2 linked regions of the Rhinolophus ferrumequinum genome follow. The protein of the gene in region 1 binds, or shares a complex with, the protein of each later gene. Links are inferred from orthologs where the notes say so. Each region holds a gene or a part of one and is shown in the gene's direction. Other genes may lie near its edges. The genes, in order: YEATS2 and DR1.

Region 1 (12,601 bases):
TTCATCTTCTTGGCTAGAAGTAGGTTACCTGGTCATTCCTGGCTGCAAGAGAGGGCAGGAAATTGAGTGTTCAACTTCCCAGTTTTAATAGAAGAAGACAAAGAAGGAAGCGTTAAGAATGGTTATGAAGGGGCAGCCAGGTGGCTCAGGTGGTTGGAGTACTGTGCACCTAACACCGAGGCCACCAGTTCGATTCCCACATGGGCCAGCGAGCTGCGTCCTCCACAACCTGACTGAGAACAATAATGGCTTGACTCAGAGTGGGGGGGGAAGGGGGAAAAAAAAAGAATGGATGTGAAGTCTGCCAAACTGCTATGTATGCCACGTCTAAAAGGAGAGAGTTATAAGAAGAGGAGAGATGGGGTGATAAAAGGAGAGGAGAGGTGTAGCTTCTTAATCCCATGGTGTTGCATGAATAAATCTTTTATACAAAATATTAAGGTCAACATAGTACAAACATAGTATAAGCATAATACAATTAAGGGTCAAAAAAAGCTTTCCCATGTATCACATCCAATATTATGATTTGTTTTTGACTTTAAAACAGACTTCCTGCATTTGGGGCCATCAGGAACCAAATTCATTCTATACACAAACTCTGAGTACTCAAATTCTCTACTTGGTCTTACCTACCATGAATAGAAAATAAAGCAGCAGGGAAAATTCTCTGCCCATTTCCCCTCTATTGTTCCTTTTATAATGTAAATAATTCTGTTCCAGGCACATTTATGGCTGTTCTGACATTATTGCTGCTCAGCTGGGAAACACCAAACCTGGATAGATTTACTCTGAACATATGAACAAGGCATTTTACAAGCATAGAAGGTGACACATAATTGTCATACAAAGTATGAGTTTGTAGATTAAAAGTTATTACACACGTGGTATGTTTCACTGCCAAGGTCAATTTATAGAAGATTGCTCATCCCTCCCAACTAAAAATCCCCTGTTCACTTGCATTGAAGGAATCTGAGAATTGATTACAGGGGCAACGTCCCCAAATCTGCCATTCAGTGCCCCATTATGAAGGCCGAATACGATTTCTAACATCAGGGTCAACAGAATACTAGCACTCTGGACATTACTTGATTTTTGAAACCTGAAAAATGCAACATTATTTGTTTTGGCTGTTTAGGCCACCAGGAGCCTATTTTATTGGGGAATGAAGGCTATTTACTGTCAGGACTGTAAATGTTGACTAAGAGCATTTGGAGGCAGTTCTCAAACAAATGGGGCTTTAAATCTGAAGCCAGGAGATCACAATAAAAGCTAGCAGAAGATAATACCGTAAATGCCACCAAGGAAACGAAAGGATATTAAAAATTCTGTCTATTATAAATACACTCAGCACTAGTGTCATTATTTATCTTTTATAACAGAGAGCTGTAGTGTGGAAGTCTAATTTACAAACAACAAGCAATAAATGAAAATATCCCAGTATTGTGTTAACTGGGCACCTAAAAGCTGATAATGTATATAAGGATATGTAACCAAATTAAAATCAAAATTCTTCAGTCTTTAAAAATTTGAGTTGGAAGTTTAAGTGGAACTATTTTTATACATTCTCCTCTTCACATTGCCCAAATTCCACCAGCACCATATTATAGCTGAAATTTTATATTTACTTTACCTTACCTTTACAAGTAATTTTCAGACATTTTTAGCATCTGTCCAGAAGCCTCTCTTTTTATTTTTAACAACTTTATTGAGGGACGTGCTTCTGCTATGAACATTCTTATATAAATTTTGTGTGGACATATGCTTTCATTTCTCTGAGGTATTTGCCTAGGAGCGTAACTGCTAGGTCATGTGGTACCTCTGTGTTTAACATTTTGAGGAACTGCCAAGCTGTTTGCCACAGCGGCTACATGCTTTTACATTCCCATCAGCAATGTACGAGAGGTCCAAGTTCTCCGTATCTAGAGGCCTCGTTTTTATACAAAACAAAGAGAGAGTCCAACCAGTTCCAGCCATAGAATGTTTCCTTTCAGGGCAAATTCCACCTACCCCTCCTTTTTTTTCCATGAATGAAAACACGTCTTGCATCATCACCCTCATTCCCAAAGACTGTAATTCTACAGTGACTGTGCAATCCACACAGAGAAGCACAATACATGGCTTCTTTTGGGTTAGGGTAGGATCCAATAGGATCTGCAAGAGTGGAATTTGGTTTTGCCAAAATCCGAATAGGACAAACAGACATTTGGCTTCTTGTTTGGACCTAGTTGGAGACAACGATTTATTTCTAACTGCCTAAGTGTAATTCCCAGACACTAATTACATTAATGGTTTGCTTGGAGCTGTAAATAAGTGAGGTCCTCATTTTACATGTATAATTAGTATCTGCACCCTGGTAGGGGAACCTCATTACATTAAGGGCTCCAGAGTTCCCACTCCTGTTAATCTTAGGAAGGGTGGTTGGTCTTCCCAGGGGGATGTCCGGGATACCTGGGGCCTGGGAACGCTTGGTCAGTTTAACTACAGTTTTCCATCTGAGCCAGCTTCCCCTCCCCCTCTCAGGCAGAGCTTCGGGTTCCCCACCTTTCTCAGGCTTTCCTTGTTTCTCTGCTGCAAGAAGCTGTTTGCCAGCAGTTGCCAGCATAGGTTCTCCCCCACCACCACCCCCCAAACTACTGGCTCCTTTTCCTGGGCCAGTGTCAACACTACTGGAAACTTCCTGACTAACTTTAATATGAGTTGCTTTTCCTTTCATTAACACTGTACATTTAACACCCACCCCACCCCCACCGCACCCCATCCCCCACTCTGCTCCACTCCCCAACCCACCCCCACACCCCACCTCTAGTGACTGTACAGGTGAACAATGCCTGAGGAGGCCTGGCCAAGGAGGGGCCTGCAATCCAACGTCCTGCCACTCGCCGAGCTGTGTGCCCCAGCACAGGTCTTTGTCTGCTTGAAGGATGGGGAGGCTTTTCCTCATGTGCCACTTGACTTAGCAGGGCCAGTCTCCTTTCCTTTCCTCCCTGGTCTCCTCCCCGTTCATTACCAAGTCTCTCAGCATTTTCTCCGCAACTATTGAATGTATCCATTTCCCTTCATTTCCACTGTCCCGTGTAAACCACCTTCATTATTCACCTTTGCCACTCAAATTGCTTTGCAACTGTCTGGCTGCTACTTTGTTCACACACCTTCCCAGTCATTCCCCACCCATTTGCCAGGGTAAGTGATCTTTTTCTAAAGGGCAAGTTGAATACATTAACTCTCTGGCTTGAAACCCTTGAAGGCCTCCTGTCGTTCTTACCATAAAGATCAAACTCTTCCCTCCTGCGTGATCTTGCTCCTGCCTAAGTCAGCCCCATCCCCAGCCCCTCTGCTCTTGCTTAAGTTTCCGTGGACTTCTCACCTGGTCTCAGGCTTTATGGTGACTCAACAGCTCCTACTGCCTTCAGGTTTCGTTTCGTATTTTTTTCAGGGAGTCCTTTTCTACCTTCACACGAAATTTGGTCCCTCTGTGCTGTGCTTTCTGAGCACCGTCCGTTTCCTTCACAGAGCTTATCTGTTGTTGAAATGTACAACACTGCATGCATATGTGTAAAAATCGGTAGCTATGTTATTTCTCATGGGCTCTAATCACTACAACTTTGGGGATTGGGCTAAACTTAAACTTGCCAAGGAAAGTTATCTGGTCTTGAGCGCCGCCAGCACTTTTGTCTACGCGGCAACCAAGAGGCCCTACACCATTGTCTACTTCCCTGTTTAAGGGCGCTGCAAGGCCAGGCGCATGCTGCTGTCTGAGCAGGGTCAGAGCTGGAAGAAGGACCTGGTGACTGAGGAGAACTGTCCGTGGAGCCCTCTCAAGGCCTCCTGTCTGTATGGGCAGCTCCCCAAGTTCACCCTGTACCAATCCAATGCCATCCTGAGCCACCTGAGCGTCTCCCTCGGATTCTATGGGAAGGACCAGCGGGAGGTGGCCCTGATGGACATGGTGAATGACAGCATGGAGGACCTCCGCTCCAAGTACGTCACCCTCATCTATACCAACTATGAAGCGGGCAACAAGGACTATGTGAAGGAACTGTCCCCGCGCCTGAAGTCTTTTGAGACCCTGTTGTCCTCGAACCAGGGGGACCAGGCCTTCATCATGGGCAACCAGGTCTCCTTTGCAGACTACAACCTGCTCGACTTGCTGCTGAATCACCAGGTCCTGGCCCCCGTTGCTTGGATTCTTTCCCCTCGCTCTCCACCTACATGGCACCCTCCGTACCCCGCTCAAGCTCAAGGCCTTCCTGGCTTCCTTCGAACATGGGAACCTCCCCATCAATGGCAAGGAAGACAGGGAGGGCTTGTGACACCCTCAGCAGGAGGCAGGGGCTGCCTGCTTCCCTGTCCCCAGAACGGATAAAATTTCCAAGAGAGAAAAAACAGTTAATTGATCTTAAACAGTCTCATTTAGGGTAACTATTTCGTCAATGCACAGTTGCAGTCCTGTCAGAACTTTCACCTCTCCCCTCTTGACTTCCCAAGATGGCCTGTGGGATCCAAGGGAAGCTCCAAGGCAGTGGCAGGAGGGGTACAGAACTGTGAGCTGTAGCCTGGGTCCTCACTGGCCTCCCTGGTCACGCCTGGTCACTATGGCCCTGCTGGCATCAGCTGCTGAGGTTGCTGGCTGGCAAGCTCATCATCTGTTGCTACGGCACTTTGAGAATCTAATGTCTCACCTTCCCCGCTCCCACACCTCCATCCCTTCTCCTCTCCCCAGCTGACTTGGGAGCACTTCAGCTCGTTCTATCCTTGGGGTCTTAGCTCCATTCTCCAGCCATTCCCTGCCAATGAGTCCTCCCTCCACTGCCTCTGGTCATCACCTGGTACCTGGCACAGCGCCCATTGGCCTGTCCATGGCTCTGTCTATTTGTCTGGCAGGGAGCATGCAGAGAAGGCTGGTTTTCTGGCACACCAGGTGCAAATTGTGGACACCATGCCGCATTTTTTGACTCCTCTCTCTTCCCAGTGCTGCTCTCTGTTCCCAAGTCCTGCTCAATGGGAACCTTCTGCCAGAAATGGGCAGCCTTTCAAGCTAGGCCAAAGGAAGTGGGCTTCTAACACTCCCTCCTCCCCCTCTTCCCCCCCCCCCACTTAGCTGGATACTTCTATGCCCCTGCCTCAGGGTTAGACCCCAAAGTAGAGGAACACTGACACACTCCTGCTGACCTCTTACCCTACGTCTTTCTCCAGTAAAAGTATTGTTATCTCCCAATTCCTATTTTCTCTTTGGGTCTTAGCCTAAGGCTCAAGGAGGCCTTTCCTAGACTTTCACATTAGATTGACTAAAATGAACTGTTTTGTTCATTTCTGATTTTCAGTGCCTGACGCAGTCTTGACACAGTGCCAAAACACAGAATAGAAATGCAGCAAAAATTTGCTGAACAAATATTATCAATCTCATTTACCCTTAAGGTCAGGAGTAGACGTTAAGGTCAGAAGGCTGGGGTGACATATTATATTCTATTCCCTTATATTGCAGGGTTTTGGAGTCAGTTCCTGGCCGTACTATTCATTCATTCAACAAATACTTTTTGAGCTCATGCTATGTGCAATGCACTGGGCTTGCTATTGGAGATAAAGGAGTAAATCCCTTAAAATATTTTTAGTAAACATTATATACATCGAAAAACTTAATAACATATATGTAAAGTATAAAACAATTACAAAGTGTACCCCCTCTAAACCTACCACCCAGCTCCAAAGGTAAAATCTTTACACAGGAGAACAGATTGAAGGGGGACAGAATCAGATCCCTGGAGACCAGCTGGGAGACCAGAGTAGTCTTGGGAAGAGAGATGAAGGGGTCTGGGGCAGGGTGGTACAGGAGAGGGAAAGGAAAGTGTGGACTTAAGATATTTAAGAGGAAACCTGGACTTGATGGATTGTCACTGACTAGTTGTGTGACATAGGTAAGTTCCAACCTTTCTGAGCCTCAGTTTCTGCATCTGTAAAGTAGGTTGGCAATACCTATAGTTATCTGTGTCTCTACTACTTAGGCACAAAGCTTGGTACGAGATGACACAAAAATCATAGCTACTGCTGTTATTACTGTACTGTAAAAGCTTCACAAATGCCGGCAGAATATTCTGTCAAACTTGGGATTGGGCTGCGTCATTTCCTTCTAGGGAGGAAAAGGATAAATGACAGTGACTCTGCCAGAACCGATCCCCAGACACCCCACGAGGAGCGGCAGCGCCGGCCAGGGTCAGAACGTGGGCCAGGGCCAGCCCCCCTCTCCGCCCCTCCCGCCCGCTCCCGCCCACATTTCTGCGAGCTCCGCCCCCGGGTCGCGCGCCCGCGCGCCGCCGCCACCGCTGCGCGCACCCCGTCCCGCCCCTAGTGGTGACGTGCAGGGCCGAGCGGGCTGCACTGAGCTGTGTGCTTCCGCGGGCTCCGGGGTCGCTGGAGCTTCGTGGTGGGGCTGCTCTGCAGGGCTTCGCCCGCTCCCTCCCCTCCGCGGTGCTCTCCCCCTGCGCGGCCTGCGCTTCAGCCGGAGACCAGGGAAAGGGTGAGTGTTGGCGGGAGCTGGATGGGACCGGCCGGGTGCGCGCTCCGCTCTCCCGGGCTTTGTCTGGGCGGGGGCGGCGCGGGCACGTGCGCGCCCCTCCCCCACCCCTCCGGCCGCGCGGCCCGGGTTGCGGAGCGGAGGGAGGGGCGGATGACTGCGGAGGGGAGAGGATCTGGGGGGGAGGCTGGATCCAGGCTGAGTGTGTATGTCCGGGAAGTGTCCGAAGGGGGAACCCGGAATTTGGGTATGTCTAGGGGGGACTCCTTTTCTAAGGGGCGCAGCGCTTTTTGAGGGATGGGGGTTCCTTGAGCTCCAGTGGCCGGAGGTTTCAGGATGATAAGCTTGGTGGCCTGTGATGGGATTAGTGGTGAGATTTGGCCCCAGGACCAGCAAGTTGTGGATTTACCAACAAGAATCCTGGAATCTCCCTCCAACCTGTCGCCATCCTAGCCGTCCTCCTCCCGCGTGAAGGATGAGTAGGATTTAGAAACGTCGGAGGATATTCCAGGGATGGTGCCCAAGTTAAAGCAGCGGAGGTGTGAGACAGTGCGGGGTTGGAGTGGAAAGCATGGGACAGTGAGTACTTGGAAGAAAGGCTGGTTTGGTGGGTTGTGGCCAGATTGCAGAAGACAATGAGGTTTATATCATAATATTTGTTTTCTGTTACGAATGTACTTACATTCAAAAATAGAAAGTAGAGAAGGAAAATATCACCAGTAATCCTACAGCCTTGGCACATCATGTTTAGAGTCGATATGTTTGCTAGTAGTTTCATCTAAGCTTGTAACAGTTACAGTTAGAGATTACCTACAATTTTCCATTCCCTTTTCTCCTTAGCATGTAAAAATGCGATGTAACAAATAGTGTTCAGCAATATCATTTCCTCTTTCTTAACAACCAAGTAGCAAGTATTCATCATGGGAAAATTTAAAACTACAGACAAGCAAAACGAGAAAAAGTACCCATAGTTTTCCTGTCTACAGATACTATCATTGAGTGTATATTTTTGGCTGTGTATATTCTTTCAAAGATAGGAGCAGATGATGCCCTGGTTAGGAATCTGGTTTCTATGGGAATCCTTTGAAGATTTTGAGTATTAATAGGTAAGGAGCATAATCTGACAGAAGAGGGCAAAAGTGGAAACTGGGAGACCAGTTAGGATGCTGTTTGCAGTATCTTGAACTAGGTCCATGGCAATGGAAAGATTAAAAAACATTTTTGAGGAAGAATGAACAAGACTTGGAATAAATGGATTGGTTAGGGAAAGGAAGAAGTCTTTGCTTTTCAGTATTTGTTTTTGAGCAACTGTGAGTAGACGATGGCATTTACTGAGAAGAATGGAAGAGAGAACTTCAAGGTGGGAAAAATCATTAGTTTTGTTTTGGATGTATTAAATTTGAGGCGCATATTAGTTTTGAAGTTGTTATGTTGACGAGGCAGTTGGATGTACAGGTTTGGAACTCACAGAAGAGAGACTAGAGCTGGAGATAAAAATTTGGGAGTATGTACTCAGTTATATGGATGATATTCCCATTTATGAAACTATATGATATCACACAGGGGAAGAGTATAAATAAGTGAAAATCAAGTCTCAGGCACTCCAATACTTTGAGGTCTGGTAGAGGAAGATTGAGCATAGGACAGAAAGAAAGAGTGAGTTAGGGGGAAAAGCAGGAGACTGGTGTCACGGAAGCCAAGAGAGGTAAGTGTCTGGAAGATGGAGAGTTGGTCCTCTTATCAGTGTTTCTAAGATGTTTAGTAAGATGCTCAGTTGGATTTGAAATCATGGAGGTTGCTGGTTTTGGTCATTGGTAGTACTTAACTATCCAGAGGTCTAAAGTGGAAACCACATTGGAATAATTGAACGGGATTGAGGAAATGAAGACAGTGAGTGTGAATTAGAAAAAAGACCGCCTTCAAGACACCTATTTCATCTGCCCCCAAACTAAATTTGATAGATAAAAAATGGTGTCTTGTTTAATTTTTCCATTCCTTGATTACTAATATGGTTGAAGATTTTTCCACATTTATCGGCCATTTGTGAATTTCTGTTCCTGTCCTTTGCATCTTTTTGTTGGTCATTTTCTAATTTATTGTTAAGAGCTCTTTAGGTTTTAAAAATATGTAGCTTGACATAGTGTTTGCAGAATTTCCTCCCTTATGTCACCTCCCCCTACCCCCGAATAAATGCACTTATTACATGTGCTCCATCAGGAAGGATGTGGTCGATAATGGAAAAAAATGTACTTATCATTTAACTCTTATGTATACTTTTTTTTAGATTGTGGTGAAATACACATAACATGAAATTTACCACCTTAATCATTTTTAAGTGTATTAAATACATTCGTAACATTGTGCAACCATCACCACCATTCATGTCTATAACATTTTTCATCATGTAAAACTAAACTCTGCACCCATTAAACAATAATTCCCTATTCCCTTCTTTCCCCCCAGCCCCTGGCAGCCACTGTTCTATATGAATTTTAGGATAGGTTTTCTATTTTTGCAGAAAATGTCATTGGGATTTTGATAGGGATTGTACTGAATCAGTGGATGGCTATGGGTAGTATTGACATTTTAACAATATTAAATTTTCTAATCCATGAACATGAGTTGTGTTTCCATTTATTTAAGTCTTTAATTTCTTTCAGCAGTGTTTAGTAGTTTTCATTGTACTAATCTTTTACCTCCTTGGTTAAGTTAATCCCTAAGTATTTCATTCTTTCTGATGCTATTATAAATGAAATTATTTCTGTGATTTCCTTTTGATATTGTTCATTTGACTTTGTATTCTGCTACTTTGCTGAATTCACTTATTAGTTCTAACAATTTTTTTGTGGAATGTTTAGGGTTTTCTCTACATGCAAGATCATGTCCTCACATAATAAAGTGCCTTCGTAGTCAGTGGATGCACTATAATTTGCTATGGACTGTTGCCAGTTTCTTATTATAAAATGTATAAAATGTAACACTTAAGTTGTAGATCTGTGAATATAGCCCACGTGTGTGTCCATCACCCTGCCTCGAGAGTATTTCCGTAGGATACGCGTAGATTCTCAGAAATACTTGATCTCATTCTTGGAAATACTTGACCTCATTCGACCAGAGATTTTTATTTGAATCTTCATTGTCACTTCCTTAAATTGTCCCCCATCTCCCTGCCTTTAAACCTTTCGTTCTGTTTTCTACACAGCTGCCAAGTGGAGGGTGAGGGATGATGCACTTTTTCCTCGTAGAAGACAAGACTTGTGAAGCAGATTGTTTCTGTATCATCAGTTCTGTGGGGGTTAGAAAAAAGAGTTTTTGAAGGCCGGAGTGCACTTCATGGATGAGTTGGAATTTAATTTGATTCTTTAAGGATGAAGAGCATTTTACTAAGTGGAGAGAAAGTAGAGGTGAAATATGAACCCATTGGAAGGTAAACATGAGGTGTTCAGGCATGTGAGCTTTGATGACTGCAGACGAAGAGAAGTAGAACTAGTTTTCCTAGGCAAGGATTGTTTATTCTGTTTATCTGAAGAGTGAGCCAGAGTTACGGAGACATTGGTGATTTTTATCTATTTGGAAAAATTAGTTTATTTTAGAGTATACATGTACTTCTATTGAGATACAATTCATATACTGTAGAATTCACCATTTTATTGGGTATAATTTGGTGGGTTTTAGTATATTCAGAGGTTGTGCAGCCATCATTACTATCTAATTGCGCAACTTTTCCATCACCCTAGAAAGAGACCCCATATCTATTAGCAGTTATCAGTCTCAGTTGCTGCCGCCCTCCCCTCACCCCTGGCAACTACTTTTTGTGTCTGTGGATTTGCCTGTTTGTGAACATTTATGTACAAGTTTTGTATAGACAAATGCTTTTGTAAACAATCTAAATGTCCATTAATAGGTCAATAGATAAATTGTGATATATCCATACAATAGAATATTGTTTACCCATTTCTCTTGGGTAAATACCTAGGATTGGAATGGCTAGGTCATATGATAGGGTATGTCTAAGGTCTTAAAAAAAACTGCCAAACTGTTTTCCAAAATGATTATCCCATTTTACGTTCCAACCAGTAGTGCATGAGAGTTCCAGTTATTCCACACTCTCCGTAATTGTGTTCTTTGTAACATATAGAGAAGTAAGAAGAGAACAGAGACGTAAAGACACCTGTAATCTGTCTTCCAGATTAGTCCTTTTGGCATTTTCCTCAAAATAATTCATGTACATGGTAAAATAAATCAAACGTCATAGTCAGGAAGAAAAATGAAAGGCAGACTCTTCGCTGCATCTACTGTGAGGATGCAGACCATTCTCAGCAGTCAGACTGGACGTCCCAGAAAACGTGGCCGTCACTCTGAAGGGACCACAGTTACTGTGAAGGGCCCCAGAGGCACCCTGTGGAGGGACTTCGATCATATCCACGTAGAACTCAGTCTCCCTGGAAAGAAAAGAAGAGGCTCCGGTGACAATGGTGGGGACATAGGAAGGAACTGACTCCTGTTCACACTACCTGTCACGTGCAGAACACGATCGAGGGTTACATTGGGCTTCCAATACAAGATGCGGTCTGCGTGTGCTCACTTCTCCATCAATGTCGTTATTCAGGAGAATGGTTCTGTTGAAATCCGAAATTTCTTGGGTGAAAAGTACATCTGCATGGTTCAAATAAGGTCATGTGTTGCTTGTTCAGTATCTCAAACCCAGAAAGTTGAGTTAATTCTTGAAGGAAACGATATTGAACTTGTATCAAATTCAGCTTCTTTGATTCAACAAGCCATAGCAGTTAAAAGCAAGGATATCAATAATTTTGGATGATACCTGTTTCTGAAAAAGGAATAGTTCAGCAGGCTGATGACTAAGATCTAAGCTATCCAGCTACAGAAACACCAAGGTGTCAAATGATTCCTCAGACTCTTTTGTGATATTTTAAAGATGCAATCAAAGTCACATACTGAAAAAAAAAAAGGCAGAACCATTACCCAGAGGCAGTTATTGTTGTTTTTTTCTTATTTATCTTCTAGAAAAACTTAAGCACATACCAAGCATTTCTTTTGTCTCTTTTTCCTCTCGTTTACAAAAGAAGGAATCAAAGTATACACACTGTTCTGCACCTTGGGTTTTTTCTCACTTGACAATTTATTTTAGAGGTATTTCTATATCGGCACATTTCTTTTTAATGGTTGCATTACAGCCGTACAGTGGTTGCATTACAGCCAATCAGTTTTGCTATAGGAAAACACAAACTTGTTCCAATGCATTTGATATATTAGGGAACTATTTGCGTATAATATGAAGTTCACATTTGCTTACACGTGATTTCGTCTGCAAGAAACTATGGATACAGGAAACTGTACCCTGCTGAACTGAACCATGGAAGGGATACACAAGCCAAGCCGCACACAGGCTACACCTCAAACATCCCCCAGCAACCTCAGTTTACTGCTGTGTTATGCGCCACACCCATCCACGTCTGGTGTTGATTTTAGATTACCCTCCTTTACCACTTGACCGTAACTCACAAGCTGCAACCTCAGTGCCCACTTCCACAGCAAACCTGAGGTCTTTTTCAAGGTCAAGTGCTATAGTTATTGTGGCATTTATGTATTTCTTAACCATTTAACATGTGTAAAACTGCTACAGTTACTAGGCTCCCATTTGTTACATCACTGGTAACGTTTTTGAGTGTTGTACTTCTAAATTCCATTTTTGCAATAAGCCTTGTGGTTTTTATTAGAGTTTTACACAGTGTGGTGCTTTTTAGGAATGCATGTGTCACATAGCAGAACTGATTTACTCCATAGTATGAACGTACATGATTTCTTCTTTTTAAATCTTTACAGTTTTATTTTTTTTTAATTGTGAAATATGTCATATATACTAAAGAGCACATGTAAGGAAGTATATTTTAAAGAATAATAATAAAGCAACAAATTTATATTTAGCTACCACCCAGCTTATGAAACAGGAAATTACTAATACTTCTGAACTTCCTTGTACGCCCCTCACTGGTCGTTTCATACTTTTTTGAATACCTGAAATATTTCATAATAAAATTAAATTTAAAAGTATTAAAACTCTGCGCCGTCCCA
Region 2 (12,464 bases), on another chromosome or scaffold:
TTACATACCCACGTTCATAAGGGTAAATGTGCAGAGTTTTATATTAGGTCACTCCAAGGATTGACATATAAAATATATAACTCATTTTTCTTCCCCTACTTACATTCTATGACACTTTTAGAGATATTTTGGTACACTGATAAATGTTAAAAATAATACTTGCTATCAAAAACCAAGATTAAATCCTGTGTGTGAACTTGACTGAAAAAAAGAGCTACATAGTGATTACCAAGAAAACGGTCTGTGAATTCCTTGGGCAGAATCTCTAAAGCTTGTTCTTTTCCCAGTGCTCATTTATAGTGAAGAAAACAAGCCAGGTGGCAGGGGAATTTAGCCTGAAAAAAGGCTTACTTTCCCCCCTGAGAGACAAATTTGATTTTATCTGTTGGCTCATATTACAAAGTGTGGCTGTTCTCCAAATCAGCACTTGAGGATAATTTTCCTTAAATGTTTCTCACTTCGGTCCCTTTAATCACACTTTCTACAGTGTATTGAGACTATCTAGTATTCCATCTCCACAGGTCTCTCACAAATCATTTCTCATTTCACCTACTAACTTCCTGTTCTGACAAGAATCTCTTGATCAATTCCCTCCACTTTTCTTGTAAAATCCAGACTTACATGCTAGGCTTAAGAAAACCAGGCGATACTCTTTCTCTTGGGAGTTTTCATGATTTCACCCGTTTCTTGTCTTGCTCCCTTTACGTTTGATTGTCCCAGGTTTGTTTTCTGTCCTTATCTGTCCTCTTCAGTTCACAATCATTGTTATGTTCCCACATGTCAGTCTTGGTATTCATAATCCAAGGTGAGGGAGGCAGATGTGTGGCCCACACATTGCTATTTTTATTCTGTGGTTCAGTTTGTTGAGAGATCCATGAGCAGAGGAATTATGCCTATCAGCGTACATATAGTGCCTACCATGGTAGGCTCAGTACATTTTCACTGAATTAATAATAATAGTCAACATTTAACAAATCTACTTATCAAATTATAGGCATTGTGCCATGCCAAAAGAGTATCTCCATTGTATAAATGAAAAGACTGAAACTTATGGGCCGGCCCAGTGGCTCAGGTGGTTGGAGCATAACGGCTCTGAGAGCCTCTGTGAGCAACCTACCGATGACCGGCAACCAACTGCCACAGCCCGGGGGAGCGCAAGGCTCATAATACCAGTATGAGCTAGGGAGTTGTGTCCTACACAACTAGACTGAGAAACAACGGCTTGAACTGGAGTGGGCGGGGGAGAACTGAAACTTAGAAAAAAATAAGTACTTGTTTTTGGTGACAAGGCTAGTTACAGATGAAGAGCTAAAACAAATTAATCTTGGGTGTGGAGGCCCAGTGCCTCCACTCAGGCTCCACACTGAATGTGCAGAGACAGTGTGACATAACTACGTAGAAGGTTCATTCTGGAGACAGGTAGTACGGGTTTAAATCCTGACTCTGTCACTTAATGACAGAGTGTAGGAATAGGCAGAGAGTTATTCTAAACTCTCAGTGCTTCAGCTTCATCTATAAAACAGAAACCAGTTATTGAACAAATATTGATGAGTTCCCAGTCATTCCACCTCAGGGTCATTCTCCAATCTGTTGCATTGCCTTTGTTTAGTTTGACACAATTGATGCTGATGATTACCAAGGGCTTAGACCTCTAGAAATGAAGGCTTAAATCACCCTGGCAGGCAGCATCCTCAGTCAGCTGCCGTATTAGCTGCAAACAAGGAAACTTGGAATGGGTCGTCATATTTACCAGTTACAACCTCATTAACAGTAGCAGGAATTAAAAGTCTGCATACATATTGCGGGATGACTGAAAAATTACCCTGTTTTTTTGCTTTATGAAAACAAGAACTATAACTGTTTTCTTATTCTTTATTTCTGTAGCAACCACTGCAACCGCTGGCCCCAGCAATTATTTATAGAGTGTACTGATAGTAATTATACTTACCATTTAGTTCTTCGCTTACAAGACCACGAGGAACCACACCTAGATATGACTGTGCCATAACTGGAAGAAAAATAGGTATTTTACATCCAGAGATCAGAACTACAAGATCAATACCCCCAAGATGTTCCTTCCACTAGTTGGATGTACCTTTGGGCGTAGAAAGAGAGCAAGTGCAGGGGCTGTTGTACTAGAATGACTGGATCACATAGGTTGGCAGCATTTTTGTCATTGCACATGTGGGGAAAGGTAACTAAATAATAAAACACAACAGAAACCTCTTAGACTAGCCACACAGCTCACAGTGACAGCTCCCTCCCCAGCACAGGGGCGGAAAAGCAGCAAAGAGCCACACACATAACTTGCAGTCAGTCATGGCTGAGTGACATGGGAGTAGAAATCTGACCCAAACCACCAAACAGATTTGCTCTCCTGGGAAACTGACATTTTGAACCAAGATGCAAAGAGATGGGAATTGTTTACAACCCGCCAAGAGGGCATTTTATGGATTCCGGCTACTGAATTTCCCTGGTTATACAACAATTCCCCAAATTCTATAAGATACCCCAATATCCTTCTGGTAAAGTCAACTAGCTGGAGTTGTTAGTTGCAATCAGAAGAATCTTAACTACTACACTTCCCTGAGTAGCTTTCTCTCATGCTGCTCCTTCATGTTCCTTTCCCTCCACCCTTCACCAAAATATTGCACTTCACCATGAATGCCATGACGTTCTGTCTCACTGAGATTTTGCTGTTCTCCTACATGAAATTTCCTTCCCCTTCCTCCTGAAAACTTGCTCAAGGATTACCTCCTCTGTGACACGTAAGACTGTCACTCCATACTTAACCATTTTTATTTGGAAGGTCCTCCACTGTACCCATAGGGCCTGTCACGCCACAATCATGGCACTTAGCATACTGCACTATGGTCTCTGGTTTACTTGCCTGTCTCTCCCATTAGATGATAAGCTCCTCAATGGAAAGGGAAACTTCCCATTTAACCTTGTTTCTCTAGTTTCCTGTTACAGTGCCTGGCACACAGGAGACCCATTAAGTAAATGGGTAAATGAGTAAACAGTTTCTGCTTCATCATGAGAACATACTCAGGCTGACCTGCTGGAAGACTGTGAGAGACCATGGAAAAGAACAAAGCCCTTTCTAGGCCAGACAGCTGGTCCCAGCTGGTACTTTTCCTTTTATATTAAAGCAAAATACAACACTGTTATTAGAACTATATGAAAATACACATACACATGGGTAAGGCTGAATAGAAACATGCAAAAATTAGCATAGGTGTGTTGGAAAAGAGAGGTATTGGTGATTTTACTTTTGATTTTTTTTTTTGTTAAAGGTATTTTTAAAAAATTTAAATTAGCCTAGGTTTTAAAATATCTTATACTAACTGTAAAATATTAGCAAGTAGTGACAAATTTTATCTCTACTGTTTTATAAATATTTCCATTCTTCACATTCACAGTGGGACTCATTCAAGCAATTGCTGGATTTTAAATCTTTTGTTCGGCTAGCAAAGCTCTTAAGTTCATGATCCACAGGTGAAACCTAACTCACAGGTATTGTACCAGTCATTTATTGCTACAAAAATGCTGCCTAACAAGCCCCTCAAGGGTCAGTGGAGTAAATCAATAACCATTTATTATTTCCTAGGAGTCTGTGCATTTTCAGTTGGGCAACTCTTCTGGAATTAGCTGGGTTTACTCATTTTCTGAGTCAGCTGTGGGTTGGGTAAGTGGCTCTACTAAGTTTGGCTGAACACTCATGTTGGGACCAGCTGTCTGTCATCAGGTCTAGAAAGGGCTTTGTTCTTTTCCATTGTCTCTCACATTCTTCCAGCAAGTCAGCCTGAGTATGTTCTCATGATGAAGCAGAAACTGTTTACTCATTTACCCATTTACTTAATGGGTCTCCTGTGTGCCAGGCACTGTAACAGGGAACTAGAGAAACAAGGTTAAATGGGAAGTTTCTCTAGGTTACTTGATTTTTCCAAGTTATACGATGTACTTTTGTGTTTCTTCTTCAGCTGCACACTCTCTCCTTTTCTATCAAAATTCTACTCAATCCACAAGGCTCAGTTAAAATGTTGAGTCCTCTCTAAAGCCCTCTGTACCTCACAAGTGGTTTGTGAATTTCTCCTTCCTCTGCACACTCTTAGCTTACATGTTTATCACAGTATTTTATTTCAATCTGTTTTATACTGTGATTCTCCCAATAGGTTGTGGGGTCCTTGAATACAAGAAGGATGTTATATTTATCTTTCTCTCTCCTGTACCATACTTAGGACAGTAGACACTCAGGTGTTGAATGAATGTAGGAATCAGATGCTGTCTTCCCTTTCTACTGCCTCCAAGATATCATTTCCTTAAATGCCTACTATTGCCTCAAATCAAAACATGTCCAAAAGCAAGCACTTCTCCTCTAAAGCTCCCGTTCAATATTGCTGTTTTTGACACTACCCTAATTCCAGTTTCTGAGGCTAAAAATCTTATATTTGATTAGTCTGTTTCCTTGACTATCTAAGAGCCAAACTATCAGGTTCTTCCAACTCTTGCTGTGAAATAGTTCTTGGAATCACCTTTCTTTTCAATCCCATTATTCCATTCCTAGCAGTAATAATCATCAGTGTAATGATTATTTTTTAGCAACTACCACTATTTATTTAGCATTAAAATTCTGGCCTAAATGCTTTGCATATATTATTTCATTTGAGATTTAAAACATCTGTGAAGCATGTATTCTTATTTTATAGAGGAGAAAAATCAAGATACAGCTTAAATACCCTGCCCAAGTTAGTTAAGTGGCAGAATGGGAATCAAACCCAGATCTGAAGCCAAAGATATTGAATGAGTTGGGCTCTCTCAAGTTGTAAAGAATAAAAATGGAATTTTTAGCAGAGTATTATGAAGATGCACAGAAAGAAGCACAGAAAACTGTTTCATGGAGGCGTATTGTCTCTTTCAAAAGAGTACACCAACATTCTAGCGATCCATTTATTTTGTTGGTCTTTCTGACATAATTATTTGAAGCCTAAAACTTCTGCCCCTGCTTCTACTGCCCTTTTTACAAGTGAGTTCTCTCTCTTCTCCCTCTCTAGTTCTCAGCTTCTATTACCTCACGACTTCTGCTGCCTCATGTGTTTGGCTCTCTCTCACTAAACAAAAATGCTTTACTTCAATTAAAGTGATCTCTTTACTGTTCTCACCATTTCTGTCTACACAACTTCGTATCATTACTTTGAACACAAATACTTTTTTCCTCTTTCTCCACCTGTCAAAAGCCTGTATTTCAAGGCTCCTTCATTACTTCCTTTTAACAGTTCCAATGGATTCTTGAGTGATTACTGTGTGGTAAGTCCTCTTGCTGACTCAGGATGAACCCAGAAAATGAGCAAGAAAATAAACCTTTTGAGATTCTTGCAACATAATTTAGCCTATCCCAATTGCTATACTGACTTCAGGGAAGTTATTTAGCTTCTCCCAGCTTCACTTTCTTTATCTGTAAAATGGAGACTGAAACAGTATCTATAAGATAAGGTTGTTCTGAGGATTAAATGAAATGATAAAGGTAAAAGTACTTAGGTAAAAGTACTTAGCACAGTGCCAATCACAAAAGAAGCATGTAACACATGATATTTTTTAAATTTGTATTACCAACAACTAGCCATTGGTGTGTTAGCAATGACAAATTAGCACAAAGGATAGCATTATTTGCTTTTTTAAAATGTAAAGCTTCAAATTACAAACGTTATAGATTGTAATTTTAGCTGAAAATCCAGGCATCTATGAATTAACACATTTTAAGATAACTACTGTAGAGTTAGCCTAATTCACCATACAAAACAGCTGTTTCTTTTCATATCATGAATTTTGGAATACCATGAGAAAAATAATGTTTCATATATATGCACTAAAAGTCTTAAAGCTCATTGTTATCCTTCTTTTCAAAAGCCTATTTATAATAAGGATCTATTGTACTGTAAATAACTGTGGGATCCAGATTAGCATATTTCATGTGCCACACGATTTATATTTAGTTAAATTTTCTCTCAGCCATATTATGTATGGTTTATTAATAGTTGAAGACCGCTCAGACCTGATAAAGATAATAATAAACACCAACATCTAAATACTGCATAATGTTAAAAGCGCTTTTACATATGGTCTCATTTGACTTTGAATCCTGAGTTATAATTCCATTTCTAGTTGAAGAAAATGGGGCTTGGAGAGTGACCTGTCTAAAGTAACAAAAAACTGGGACTGGAACCTAGGTCTCTACTACACATTTCATGCTTATGCTACCACAGAACCCTGTAGTAATAAACTATTACTGGAATAACATGTGTGCTCTTCAGATGTACGTATGTATCATAAGCCTATTGTTCTACATTGTATAAACGTTACATAAAAAAGCAAAATTATTTTTTCAGGAATGACAAGATTTGGGTCAGTGACAAATGTGATAACTGGGGACATGTTTGCTAGCTTTTTTCAGTCGGATAAACTTGGTGAGGCCAAGATGAATTTAGACAGCATAGTAACTCTTGAAACCAACAGTCTTGTAAACTGACTTACATAAACACTTCATAAAGGGCCAACAACTGAGCCAACAGTTTCACATTCTTATTTTGAAGAAAATTGTCAAATACATTGTTTTATCAAAGAAGTTTTGGTTTGGCTAAACTTAATTGCATTGAAAACCCAGCGTCTGCACTTCAGAAATGAAAGAACTGGCAAGTGTGCTGGAGAAAATGCTAAATGAAAAAAAATATCTAGGGTCTTTCTTAAATAAAACGTTTTAAGAGTACATTTCAAACAAGCCAGTTGCTGTCCAATGTATCAAGAACAATGTATTTGATTAACTAAAGTGCCAAAACAGATTTAAATGGTATCTCGTTTACTTTTTAGAAATTGCAACAACCATTTATAACACAGACTCTTCTAACAAATGACAGTATGAAAAACTTAGCTTTTTAAAAAATAGTGCAATTTTTATGAAGAACTTGACACACGTTGATGTTACTAGTTACCCTGGAGAGCAAAAATCAGAGCTGCTTAAGACACTGTAACATACTCCCCCCCTCCCCCGTCTCCCCACCGCCCCCCCCCCCCGTTTCTTCAGAAGGCAACGTGCAATACACCATGAAAAATTGCTAAGTTGGAACCTCTTAATGCTACGCATTTCCACTACGTTGGATCTTATTTCTCGTTTCCGGTTTAGCCATTAGTAGTGACTGGGAGGTCATGTCACTTCTCAGCATGTTTTGTTTCTCATAAAACGAGAAACTGGGTGGAGGACCAAAAAGAGCTTTGATCCGAATAACGTCTATTAGGTATCAAAAGGTTTTCCTCCGGACTGTGCAGACACAGGAACACCGGCTTCTGATTTTCTCATATCCTATTCCCGAGCCCAGACCTCGTTCCTCTTCTAGCCCAGTTCGGGCTCCTTTAAGGAACAGCAAAGAGAGTTCTTTTAATAAAAGCCAGCATTCCTTTGTCCCTGAACATAGCTGGGAAAGGCTTTCGAAGCCTCAGCTGGTTGAGACCGTAGAGGCGATCCAACCTCGCCGGCGCACCCACCCACTCCATCCCGAGTCTGGCGCCGCAGCCCAGAGCGAGCACGTACTCGGGGTTCTCCGGTACTGTGGGGCGCGCGCTCGCCCTGCTACGGTCCCCATGAAGGAGGGGGGGGATGCCCGGGCGCGTGCCAGGACCGCGGCTGGCGGAAGCGGGGGGCCGCGGGGCCGGGAGGTTCCTGCTGGCGCGGGTGGGGGAAGGGCAATAGCCACACCCGGAACTCGGTGGGGAAGGAGGGAGGGGGGGTGAAGCTTCCGGTAGCGCAAAGGGTGTCGGGAGAAGCTTCCCACAAACCTTCTTCCCTGGCCTCTGGAGGGACCACCGTTGCCGCGGCTTCGGCTTCCACGATCAGCGTTCGGGCTAAACGACCGCGGCGGCCGCCAGTGCTGCTTCCCTTGTGTCTGGCCCTGTCCGTATTCGTTCCCAGGCGGCCGCCCAAGTTCCAGCAGCGGCCGCGGCCGACATGTTGTGAGGCAGCGGCGTGGGTGTCTGAAGGATGGTTTGGCTGAGGCGGCGGCAACGGCTGCTGGCGGCTGCGGCGGCGGCAGCTGGGGCTCCGGCTCTGTAGAGCCAAGCCCACTGGGTGTCCGCCCAGTATACCTCAGCGAGGCCAGTGTCCCTGAACCTTGCCGCTGCTCCGGCACCTTTGGGGACCGGTTGGGCGACAGCGCCCGCCCCTCTGAGGAGACACGAAGGTGTTCCCTGGTGTTCAAATTTCCTGACCACCTTTCTTTTCCTGCCCGCCCTGGGGCAGAATTCTCAGCCCCGCGACTTTCCTCCGAACCTCGCCCTAAATCTGACTGACACACGCTGTGTTCCCTGCCCTCTGGTGCCAACCCTCGCCCCCCCTTCATTTTCTGCCCCCTCTTCTCGTAGAGCCCCCGGGATCACTCTCCGAGGGCGGCCTTTTGAAAAATCTTTGTGGAGTAGTGGACCAGAACTGGGGAGTTCTTAAAAGTCGGGGCGAGAGACATAGGAAGATACGATGGCTTCCTCATCTGGCAACGATGATGATCTCACTATACCCAGAGCTGCTATCAATAAGATGATCAAAGAGACTCTCCCCAATGTCCGGGTGGCCAACGATGCCCGGGAGCTGGTGGTGAACTGCTGTACTGAATTCATTCACCTTATATCTTCTGAAGCCAATGAGATTTGCAACAAATCTGAAAAGAAGACCATCTCGCCAGAGCATGTCATACAAGGTAAGTGTTACGTGTGGGATTTTGTTTAAGTGAAGGTCCGGGGACAGCCTGCTAGTCGCGTGACTCATTCATGTCAAAGCCTTCATTCCTCTCCTCTGATCAGTACTGGAAAATGAAAAAGCCACGCGGGCATGGAGGCAGCGGGTGCCTTCAACAAATTCCTATGTAGTATGCTCGTGGTACTTTTCACCAGCCAATACAAGTAAGGATTGCGAGCATTTAGGTCAGCTAACATCCCCCAAAGGTAAAGTATTAGCAGTCGTTTCAATTTACAGCCAGGTAAGCCGAAGCAACAAGGATTTTGCCTGCCTAAAGAGGAACCTATACATGACAACTGAGAAATTGAAACGTAGATCAGAACATCTGAGAAAGGAATCCAAAAGTACTCCCTTGGAAAATTAAAATTCAGACAGGAAATTCAAGTATGAACAGAGACAGCACCCCTTCCGCACCCGATCTCTTCACCAATGTAGAGAACAAGATGAGTTTTCTGACCACCTGAGTAAAAAAAAAACTTTAACAGGAGTGTGTTCAACGTTTTCAAGTTTGTTGGTGTTGAGTAGAGTCTATTTTCTGCGTTAAAAATGGTTTAATGGTCCAACCGTTCATCCACAAGTTACCAAAGCACTCCAGTTCTATTCTGTAAGAAAAGGGTGAATGTCCTTTTCTTTTCCCCTCTCTCCCATCCTTCTTTCTCTTTTTCTTCTGTGTAGCTCCCTTTGTTCTATGGAGATAAATTTTTAAAGCCTGGTTTAAGAGATTGTAAGAGGTGTTTTTCATGGAACATTTCCCTGTTCTTTCCTGCCCCCATTCCCATTTAGATGTTCACACTCAAGCTTTTATTGAACAGCACTTCTGAAAGTTGCAACAGTTTTTTTCTATCTTTGGAAAGGATTTAGTTCAGTAATAGGGATTTGGGAGACCGTATTCTGATGGTGTGTTTCAAGGATGGGGAGACATATTTACTAGTCACAATATTTCGGGAAGCACATACACCATTATGAAAAAATTGCACTCAATTTGAGGTTATAACTTGCCTTTTATAATAATCCAATTAAAAATCTATCAATTTCTTGATTGCTTTTGAAGTCAGAAAAAAATCATGGTTAATTTTAATCATTTGAGTAGGCTGGTGGTTGTCTACCATTTGATTTTTATAACTTAACTTTTTAAAAGCTGACTTTCCTGTTATTCTGAAGTAGAGAATACATCTGCTCATATTCACCATATCCAATATTTTACTGTCAATATTGACGGAAGGATTAAATGATTCATTTTTGATCTTGAATGATGTGTGGAAGGCAGATATAAATTATACTCTGCCATTTCCATTTCAGTACATAAGGAAAAAAATAAGCCCCTAGGAAAAAGCATGTTTAATTTTAAAGCTACCATTTTTTTCTACTTGTTTGGTATGCTGCATACCCTGGCAAGTAAAATGAAAGCCAAGTTGTCTATTTTTCCTGTGGTGTTTTTTTATTTTCACGTTATATGTTCAATTGTTGTCATAAGTCTTTCTCAAGATTATCCAACACAGATAGCTATAATTTCCTTTTACAACTCATAAAAAAGAAAAAGGATCTTTTATCAACATTGCCTTTTACTGCAAATTGCAAAAGATTTCTAAAGGATCTGCCTAAACATTTGTTTACACCACAGAAGTGGGTATCATTCCAAAAATCTAATAACACATACAATCTGTCTTCTTGGGTAGAGTTTATTCTTTTCTAGGATATATTTAGATTTCTGATTGACATGATGGAATAAAAGTGCAGCTGTAGCAAGCAGTATGCTAAATGCCTCAACTTTGGAATATGCTAAATTCAGTTTAACAACTAGGAAAGTTCCAGTGAAAGCATTTTCCTTTGTGTACTAAGTATGATTTATTAATTTTAAAAAATCATGTATTGACCTGTTATAGTCTAATAAATTTACCTTTTTTTCTTGTAGTATTGATATTAAGTGGATGAAGACCTACCATTTTTGCCCCAAATTTTCCCGTTAGGGGAATAGATTTTATGCATACACATAATCTCATATTACTCTCATATTGCTTAATTATTTTAAAGATTTTTTTTTGTCTTGAGTGGTTAAAAATTTTTTAAAGAAATTTTTCATGTCTGTATATTTTAGGTGTTTAAAGTGTTTTTACAGACTAACTCTGGAAAGCTAGTAAATCATGGTAGATATGACATTTTTTACACTTCCTGTCAGCATTGATTATTTACCTGTTTCCCCGAAAACAAGACCTAGCTGGATCATCAGCTCTCATGCGTCATTTGGAGGAAAAAATTAATATAAGACCTAGTATTATATTATATTAATTTTATTATATTATTGTACTATATTATATTTATTATAGACCCAGTCTTATGTTAAAATAAGACCGGGTCTTATATTAATTTTTACTCCAAAAGACACATTAGAGCTGATGGCCTGGCTAGTTCTTATTTTCAGGGAAACACGGTAGGAATGTAGGATATATCCAAGTGGAATAATAATGTATATTTTAAAGTGATATGAGTCTCACTTGTTGAAGTTTGCAGTTTTAAGTAGTAAGTTTAATGAACTAGATTTCGCTTTAGGACATTTGTTCACTTGCCACTTTACCTCATCAGAGCAAAGTAAGCATTTGAAGCAGTTCTGTAAAATTCAAATTACAGTTGAAGTAATTTCATTGCCATTAAATCTGTGAAATACTATGACTTAGATTTAAAAAATTTTTTTTCTTAATGTCTTGCTTATTTTGAGTTTAAGAAAGTAGACTTGGTATTGAAGATCACAAATACACAAATAGAGGGGTTTCTAAAGTGTTCTTTTTATTCCATTGCTGGTTTCTGTGAACACATATTCTTCAATGAGTTCTAACATGTTCTGTTACATTATGGAAAGAATTGACATTGAGAGTCAAGAGCTGCAAGTTCTACTCTGGAAAGTCTTTCACCTTAGGTAAATCTGTTAAATGTTTCCCCATTTGTGTATAAATAATACTTAATGGTTTCAGGTATAACTTGCAATTATTGAGAATCAGTCAGAGTTGAGAACCTTACATGAAATAATGCTGTAGTAAATAATAATTTAAAAAAATTTTACAGTAGTACTGATTAAAACATAAAGCTGACAGTCTGTTATGTTTAACCTTATGTCATGATGCCTTTTGTAAAGCTAAAGTATAAATAATAATATTTTAAGTGATACTTTCTTTCTGCATTTTTAATCTCTTGCTTCATTTTTTTTTTCACATTTATGAGAATAGTAACTGAAAGTAGTGAAAGTTTTAAGAAGTCTTCTGAGGATTTGCTTCAGCAATTGAATTGCTCCAAGCTATTTATGTTGAGTGCCTTTTTAAAAATTCTAGTCCCTCTCACACTAGTACTTTTGTAAAATACAGTGAAAATGGATCACTAGGAAAACAAGAAGAGAAGATACAAATAAAAGTTCAATTTTTGTTATTAGATTCAATAGACATAAAATTACTCTTTCAAATTGCCATGAAATTTCTTTTTCCCCCCAACTTTGAGATGTAATTGATATATAACATTGTATAAGTTTAAGTTGTACAATGTAATGATTTAATGTATGTATATATCCTGAAATGATTACCACAATAAGGTTAGTTAACACCTCATGTAGTTACTGTTTTGCTATGAAGGTTCTTAAATGGGTACTTTGAATTTCCATATTTAACTCATCACAGACCATTACAAGCAATTCTGGCACAAGTCT

What was found.
Region 2: YEATS2 (region 1) and DR1 share a complex: the UniProt entries of both Homo sapiens proteins name them as parts of the ADA2A-containing complex. The link is inferred for Rhinolophus ferrumequinum from reciprocal best matches to the Homo sapiens genes YEATS2 and DR1.

What each region holds. Positions count from the first base shown.
Region 1 is NC_046285.1:61,254,926-61,267,526, reverse strand, and holds the start of YEATS2 (YEATS domain-containing protein 2), read left to right. Parts: upstream 1-6,308; 5' UTR 6,309-6,511; intron 6,512-6,687; exon of another isoform or gene 6,688-6,755; intron 6,756-6,890; exon of another isoform or gene 6,891-7,087; intron 7,088-12,601. UniProt on the Homo sapiens protein: Chromatin reader component of the ATAC complex, a complex with histone acetyltransferase activity on histones H3 and H4. YEATS2 specifically recognizes and binds histone H3 crotonylated at 'Lys-27' (H3K27cr).
Region 2 is NC_046292.1:70,524,243-70,536,706, forward strand, and holds the start of DR1 (protein Dr1), read left to right. Parts: upstream 1-7,795; 5' UTR 7,796-8,518; coding exon 8,519-8,738; intron 8,739-12,464. UniProt on the Homo sapiens protein: The association of the DR1/DRAP1 heterodimer with TBP results in a functional repression of both activated and basal transcription of class II genes.